2 linked regions of the Sus scrofa genome follow. The protein of the gene in region 2 purifies or fractionates together with the protein of the main gene of each other region. This does not show direct contact. Links are inferred from orthologs where the notes say so. Each region holds a gene or a part of one and is shown on either strand. Other genes may lie near its edges. The genes, in order: CUL5 and WSB1.

The links.
Region 1: the proteins of WSB1 (region 2) and CUL5 purify together in Homo sapiens (affinity purification with mass spectrometry; 4 studies listed by BioGRID and IntAct, counting the BioPlex papers as one, with this or other methods). This does not show direct contact. The link is inferred for Sus scrofa from reciprocal best matches to the Homo sapiens genes WSB1 and CUL5.

Annotation. Positions count from the first base shown.
Region 1 is NC_010451.4:36,492,524-36,496,338, reverse strand, and holds part of CUL5 (cullin-5), read right to left. Parts: intron 3,405-3,815; coding exon 3,273-3,404; intron 611-3,272; coding exon 487-610; intron 123-486; coding exon 1-122. UniProt on the Homo sapiens protein: Core component of multiple cullin-5-RING E3 ubiquitin-protein ligase complexes (ECS complexes, also named CRL5 complexes), which mediate the ubiquitination and subsequent proteasomal degradation of target proteins.
Region 2 is NC_010454.4:43,883,519-43,888,128, forward strand, and holds the start of WSB1 (WD repeat and SOCS box-containing protein 1), read left to right. Parts: upstream 1-1,596; 5' UTR 1,597-1,915; coding exon 1,916-1,955; intron 1,956-4,610. UniProt on the Homo sapiens protein: Probable substrate-recognition component of a SCF-like ECS (Elongin-Cullin-SOCS-box protein) E3 ubiquitin ligase complex which mediates the ubiquitination and subsequent proteasomal degradation of target proteins.

The sequences.
Region 1 (3,815 bases), on a different chromosome or scaffold from region 2:
TTTGTAGAATTCTTCTACTTCAGGTATCAAATCCTCCAGTTCAGTAGGAAGTGAGACAAAGACTTTTTCAGAACTTCTTGACCAGGCACCAGCATTAAGAATTTTTATATTAACTGAATCAGCTATAGGAAAGAAGATCAGAAAGTATTAAGCCAATACTCTTGACAATGGATAATTTTTTTTAACAATGATTTTTATTTTTTCCATTATAGCTGGTTTAAAAACAATGGATCAAATTTAAAATACAAACACAGAGGGTAAGTTTGGTGAAAAATAAATAAAGACTAAAGATTTTGTTTAAAAGTGTCTGTTTGTTTCAAATTAAGAATTAGCAAATCTAAATTCTGCTTTGCAGGATATTGTCAAAGAATGTGGGCTCTGAATATCTTTATATCTATTACTCCTTAAACATTTTTAATTTACTAGAAAACAAAGATATTCTTTTTTTAAAGTTAAAAAAAAATGTATGTAATTATAAAATAATACCTGGTAAAGCCAATTTATTATTTTTGTGCATTTCCTTAAAAGCTTGGTTCAAATCTTCAGATACTTTTATGTCCTGAAACATTCTAGCAAGTTTGTTTACATAATCTGCTGGCATACCAACTTCCTATGAAAACCAAAGACAGAAGAAGTAATAAATAATACATAATCTGATAAACTATTAGGAAAAATTATAATGTAAAACTAAGTGTTAGATGTTTTAATATAAATTTTTTTCTTTTATTTATTAGAATGTTTATAATCTAATACCTATTACATTTTATTCTTAGAAAATAAACAGAATATTCAGGCAATCCTGGCATTCTGTGCATGAATCCAGGATGCATTAATTTCAGTTACCACAATATAGTTAAATAACACCGGCCCCCCAACAACACACTTCAACTTTCAATTACCATTACATATTAAATGAGGGTAATACATAAAGCACAAATGTAACCTCTAGCTCCTCAATCTAAAAATCATCAACAAATAACAGGCACATCGTATCAGTCACCAGTCACAATACTTCTTTCAAAATCTGTTACCAGTTTATTATTCAGCTCACCTATGGATAGCAAAGCATGTATTTTCTTGCATTCATGTCTTTGAGGGATAAATCCACATAACATTTTACCAAAATGAATAACTAAAAGAGGTAACTGGGCAAGAAAGATGATAAAAGTATACCTCCCCAAAAAAGAAGAAAATAATGTTGGAAATGAAAATAAAACAGAGGCGTTCCCTTCGTGGCTCAGTGGTTAAGGAGCCTGACTAGGAACCATGAGGCTGCGGGTTTGATCCCTGGCCTCACTCGGTGGATTAAGAATCTGGCGTTGCCATGAGCTGTGGTGTAGGTAGCAGACACAGCTTGGTTCTGGCATTGCTGTGGCCATGGCATAGGCCAGCAGCTGTAGCTCTGATCCGACCCCTAGCCTGGGAACCTCTATATGCCTCAGGTGAGGCCCTAAGAAGCAAAATAAATAAATAAACACAATTAAAAAAAAAAAAAAGAGTTCTTTTATATTCTAGATATAGTATCAGACATAAGTATTATAAATATTTTCCTAACTACTCTTTTCTTTTTGTTTGTTTGTTTGTTTTTTAAATGGCTGCATTTGTGGCATATGGAAGTTCCCAAGATAGGGGTCAAATTAGAGCTATAGCTGAGACTTATGCCGCAGCCATGATCTGAGGCGCATCCGCAATCTACAAGGAAACACTGGGTCCTTAAACTACCAAGTAAGGCCAGGGATCGAACCTACATTCTCAGAGACAACAATGGGTCCTTAACACGCAAAGCCACAATAGGAACGCCACCAAGTTTTTTTATAAAGACATAAAACACTTTAAATCTGAAAATGAATGTTTTATAGTGTACTTTTCTTCTATATTTACAACAGATAGTAATTGTTTTTAATATTTTGACAAAAATTTCTAAGTCACGGAGTTCCCATTGTGGCTCAATGGTAACAAACCTGACTAGTATTCATGAGGATGTGGGTTTGATCCCTGGCCTTGCCCAGTGGGTTAAGGATCTGGCATTACTATGAGCTGTGGTGTAGGTCACAGTCAAGGCTTGGATCTGGCGTTGCTGTGGCTGTAGTGTAGACCAGCAGCTATAGCTCCAATTTGACCCCTAGCCAGGGAACATTCCTATGCCCTGGGTGAAGCTCTAAAAAGAAAAAAAAAAAAATTTAAGTCACAAAACAGTAATTGTTCCCACTGACTATTAATACTGAGATCAGCTGCACAGTCATTTTTAATATTCCACACTACCATGCAAAGCAGAGCTCTCTGAAAATCTGTAATGTGAAATATACATATAAATGAAAACCATATATATAACATATAACTATACACATTACAATGTTTTTGTTATATATAAAATACCATAAAAATAAATGAAAGACATATTCATTGATGTTATGCTAATATAACTCAAATTCCATTAAATGAACTAAAAGGAAGAGACTTAAAATATTCTGTTATAAGAATTTAGTCTTAATTAGCATTGATCCTCCTAAACAGGCCATCACTTTTTACCTATTGGTTCCTTTTCCTTTACAGATGTACCTATTCACAAATATCTCTATGGACAAATATTTAGTACAAAAAACACCTAAAAAATGATTTGTCCAGAAGGTCAGTTCAAATGAGAGTGGAGATACAAAAAGACTGAAACAAGAGAAGCAAAGCAAGAGCAAAGGTGCTTTACTGAAAGTCTTTATTAAGGAGTTCCCTTCATGGCTCAGTGGTTAATGAACCTGACTAGTATCCATGAGGACAAGGGCTCGATCCCTGGCCTTGCTCAGTGGGTTAAGGATCCAGCATTACTGTGACCTACAGTGTAGGTCGGCAGCTATAGCTCCCATTCAACACCTAGCCTGGGAACCTCCGTATGCCCCAGGCGCACCTCTAAAAAGACCAAAAAAAAAGTCTTTATTAAAGTAATAGGATTTCCCATTGTGGTGCAACAGATCCAGTGCTAAGGTAAGCTGTGGTGTAGGTCACAGATTCGGCTCATATCCTGTGTTGCTGTGACTATGGCGTAGGCCAGCAGCTGTAGCTCTGATTTGACCCCTAGCCTGGGAACTTCAATGGCCCTGAAAAGCAAAAAAAAAAAAAAAAAAAAAAAAAAGATAATATGCCTTACTTTATAAGAATATACTATATTCTTATAAAATGTTCCTTTATTTCAACATTAACAATATCACCAAAAACCTAAGCACACATACGAACCATGTACTATCTTAAGAAAACCAAATATTTTTTAAACATTTACTTACTCTTAGCCACTCTACCATATTCTCTTCAATTTCACTATCAGCAGAGATGTCTAATATAAGACGGCGTGTCAAATGAGCTTTGTGGTATCTCATAAAAACGTCTTTGTTTTGTACATATTTAAGTACCAAGAGCTGTATAGAAAACAAAGTTTACTTTCATTTATATACACTCTTAACCACCACTCTCATTTAGAATTTTCTATATCCTCAACTGTCAAATTTCAGAAATTCATATCAGCATATACAGATAGTGACCTACAAAACTGTCCATCTCTGAAAAATAACCAGTCCTGACATACTACTTTAAAAGTTAGCAAATTTGAGATGGTAACCAAATAATCTTTTAATTTCTATAAACATCAATTTTTGAGATTTTATATTAAAACGAAATAAAATTTTACATGAAAGCCAATGGTTCTACCCCAATTCTTCCTTCCACGTATCTTCTTCACTTTTTTCTAACACTAATCTTCTAACTCTTTTTGTCTATACTTTCTCTATATCTTTCCTTACTAGTTTTTTCCTCTTTGGTTTCCTGAGCTT
Region 2 (4,610 bases):
CTAATTGTCTGTAAAACATGAGTAATGAATACACTACTCATACTGGCGTGGATATTAAATGGGTTAATCCACAGAAGCCCTTATATGGCACAGTACCTGACCCAATAAATATTAGACAGTATCACTAATGAGTACATAAATCATTAAAATTATTTTTCATTCCATTGTCATACTTTGCCAGTTGAGAAATGGTCTGGAAGTCTGTTGGCTAGCAGTAATAAATTACAATGGAATTAAACAATTGTATGAAAAAGCCACCAAAACAATGCAGGCACTTAAAGAACTGGTATTTCCCATGACTTTGTAACAGTAGATACAGTACATGTGAAGAGAGGAAATAGCAGTTGGTTTAAAGAATCAACAGGGACTGATAGAAATGTTGCTATTGAAGATACTAGACTGCACTATTTTCTTTTGTTCTACTCTAGATATTTGACAACTAGCCTCAGTGTATGGCACAAAGTAAGCCATCAATAAATATGTTGACTGTATGTGACAAAAAAAAAAGGAGAGGGGGATGATTTCTTGTACCTGTTATTAAATATTTCACTATTGGAAGACTTATCCTTATGCAAAGAAAAAGATGAAGAAGTCATGCTGTAGGTGCTGTCATTTGAGATCTCTCGAAAGAGTCTGGCTAGGCACAACTCCTCTCCCATTGGTGTCTGTTGCATATTTGAAATTCCCAGCCTTAGACGTCTTCCTTTGGAACTAGGTTTAATGCCCACAGAAGAACCCATTAAAATGCAAAGATATCGTCTTTGAATGGAACCAACTTGGCTTTTGGCAGATACACACACATTTATCAGCACTGCAGTGTAAATAGCTAGCTGCCTCCCAGAGGCCTAGACCTTGGAAAGCAGCCTTGCAGAATGGGCCGCTTCTAAGCAGACACGGTGGGATCTGCCTCGGCTAGTGGTCAGGACACAGCCGACCGCCAGCCTCGCTGCAGCCTCCGGGCAGGCCGGCTGCAGGGATTAGCCAGGACGAAGGCAGCCCCAGGAGGCCTTGTGGTGGGGCAGGACACCATCCAGCCCAGGTCTCCCCCTTCCTCAAGCCGGGTCACTTCGGCCCTTCCAAAAATCTGCTAGCTCTCATAAGAACGCTCACGGCCGGACATGTGGTACAGAGCGATGTCATCTCATTGTTTTCAACAGTGCCACCCCCAGTTCCCTGCCATTTGAGGGCCGGGGAAGAGGCCAAATAGAATTGAAGTCTGGAATGCCTTTTTTTGTTCTTTTCAGTTCAGTCAGCTTAAATGCCACGCAATCTTTACACTGTGGGCTAACGTGTATTACACAATTCTCTATTTGCCTTTTTAAAGGCGCTTCAAGTTATAAACACCATGCTGGGCCCCCGGCCGAAAAAAGAGACGCAGTTAAAAGCAGTCAGTAGGCTCCAGCCCGGCGTTTGGGCCTGGACTGGGGTCGCACCCCTCCTCTACCGCCCCCGCCCTCTTCCGGCTCCCAGGTCCAGTCCCCAGGACAACGCCCTAGAGCACCCGGCGGGAGGGCGGGGCACCAAGCCTTGGCCGTCACGTCCCGAACGTCGGGAGGCGGGGCATAGCGCTTTTACGTCACCAGACCCCGCCCCGCATCCCTGATATTAACCGCGCCGACCGCCATTTTGTCTCCAGTGTCTCGTTTGCTGTCCGCGGCGTAGAGGGAAGTGTCTGACTCCGTGGGCGTGAGGCAGGGAGCAGGGGCTATTGTTTGTGTTTCACGCCGTAGTTTGGTCCGAGGCCTCCGGAGCTTTCCCGGGGCAGTCGGCAGAAGCCGCCGCGACCGCCCCGCCCCTCCCCTCCGTCCCTGGGACCGGGAGGGACCCAGACCGCGTCACGCCCCTCGGCGCTCAACCTTCCCTTCTCTGTCGTTGCGTCCGCATCGCTTCCCCGGAATCGGACGGTACCCCATAGATGGCCAGCTTTCCCCCGAGGGTCAACGAGAAAGAGATCGGTGAGGAATGGGACGATGGGCGAGGGGTGCCGGTGAGCCCGCGGGAGTTTAGGAGAGGCAGGGACTCTCCCGAGGAGGCTCTGAGTCTGAGGAAGTGGAGTGAGCCTGAGCCAAGCCTTAGAGCGCAGAGGGAAGAAGCGGCCCTGTGAGTGGGTGTCGTTGAGGGTAAATGGGTTCAGCCTTGATGCCGCGCCTACTGTGCGCCGGGCACGGCGGAAGGCAGTGCGCGGATCTTAGAGGCAAAGAGATTCTGGGCGCCGAGTGGAGGGCTGTAGTGATCATGTGGCCCGGGATGGATACACACTCGTGGGGATCCTAGCTGTCTCATCGGAGGTCTGCGCAGGGCTGTTCTGCAGGGATTCTCTTGGCTCGGGGGTTGGGGCCTGGAGTGGGCCGGAGCGGGCTGGGTAAGTCTTCGGGACGCTTACAAGTTTCCAGTGGGGAAAAGTACACTTGTGTGTTCTGAGCTGTTATGAAAGGATGGGTCTTCGTGTATACCAATCACTATAAGGGGAAGTGCAGCCGAAGAGCTGCCTTCAGCCTGGAAAAAGCAATATATATATATATTTTTTTTTTTTTTTTTTAATTGGTGTGGCGTTAAGAAAGGCAGCAGGCGGCTCAGGGGAGGAGTCTCAGTTATCTTTCGTGCACTTAAGAGTTGGGAGGAGCAGGGTGGTTGGGTGGAGTGACCGAAGAAAAGCTCATCTACGGAGGAGCAAACTCTTGAAAAGGCTGTCTAGAAACGCTTAGCGGCCAGCCCTGCCGAGCTGAAAACCGGCTGATAGATGTTGGCGGTCCTGTGTCAGGACGTACCCAGTGGCTCAGTGGAAAACACCTCACATTTTTTTAAGTCCTCTCACAAGGTGAAATAACTGGAACAACTTTGGGGGAAGTTGGGGGTGCTAATCATTGATTGATGTGTTACTAAACATTTAAACTTAGCAAGTCAAGTTATACACCTTATTTAAATATATGCAGTTTTTATTAAAATAGATTTAGCATCTCCCCACCCTTTCTCAAAGCCCAGCACTGAAATTACCGCTGTTAAATAAATGAAAATTGGAGGTAGCTACTGAGCTGAGAGCCTTTGCATTTCCTTATTCTTCAACTAAATGTATGCCTTTATTAAACACTGGCAGGAGGTATTTCCAGAGAAAGGGAGAAACAATAGCTAAAAGGCCCCCTATACTGTATGTTGGTAAATTCTTATATTTAGAGACAGCTATCTTAGAATTCTGGACTTTTGTCCTCTTAGGGATACAGTTGGATGGCAAGTTAGGAGGGGGCTTTAACCCTGGGTTGTTTTTTGTTTGGCTTTTTTGCTTTTTAGGGCCACACCTGCAGCATATGGAAGTTCCCAGGCTAGGAGTCAAACTGGAGCTACAGCTGCCAGCCTATGCCACAGCCATGCCAGATCCCAGCCTTGTCTGTGACCTACACCACAGCTCACAGCAGCAACAGATGCTTTAACCCACTAAGTGGAGCCAGGGTTTGAACCTGTATCCTCATGTTCATTTCTGCTGAGCCACAACAGGAACTCCCGACGCTGTTTTTTGGGGGTTTTTTTTGCTGTTCAGGGCTGCACCTGAAGCATATGGAGGTTCCCAGGCTAGGGGTCTAATCGGAGCTACAGCTGCCGGCCTCCAGGCCTCCACCACAGCAACGCAGGATCCGAGCCTGTCTGCGACCTACACTACAGCTTATGGCAATGCTGGATCCTTACCCACTGAGCGGGGCCAGGGATAGAGCCCGCAACCTCGTGGTTCCTAGTTGGATTCTTTTCCGATGTGCCACGATGAATTCCCTGATCCTGGTTTTAGTAACAGTTTTAAACAGAAAACAAAATTCATGTCCAGTTTTTTTGTTTGTTTTTATGTCACACCTGTGGCATGTGGAAGTCCAGGGATTGAATCTGACCTGCAGCTGTAGCAACGTGAGATCCTTTAACCCACTGCTCCAGGGCCTTGGGATCAAACCTGCACCTCCACAGTGACCTGAGCTGCTGAAGTTGGATTCTTAGCCTGCTGCGCCACAGCAGGAAGTCCTCATGTCCAATTTTTATTTTAACTGTGGGATGTAGAACTCAGAAGTTCTTATTCTCAGTCCAATGGTGTTTTGTTTTCGTACTCACAGTAGTGTCATAGATGAGTGGTCTGCCTTTCATTTATCTGTATTTTACTTCATCTTGAATCATTTTGAAAACTTTCCAGTCCTCTCTTATAAGGGATGGATAGAGCTTCTTAGCATAACTGCATAAGGTAGAACCTATCCATAGGTAGATACCTATCCACTAGGTAGCCTTTTGAATTAAAAAAAATGGGGGCGGTATTTAGGTCTCATTGTTATTTCCTAGATATAGTATAAAGTTACTAGGTAGTCGCCAAATAATCTAAAAGAACTTTGGCCTTTTAAAGGTCGTTTTGTTTTGTTTTTTTAAACAGGTTTTTGTTTCTTTGTTTTTTAAAAAATTATTTGGATACAGAGTTAAACACTACACTGTGTAGTTTGTATCTATCAGTAAGGACTGACTTCCCTTTTTTCTTGGGTATTAATTACAGTTGTTTGGTTCTCATGTACTGAAAGAGGAGGCAAAATTCCATGAATGATTAAAGAAATCTATGCGACAGGGAGTTCCTGCCTAGAGCTACAGCCCTC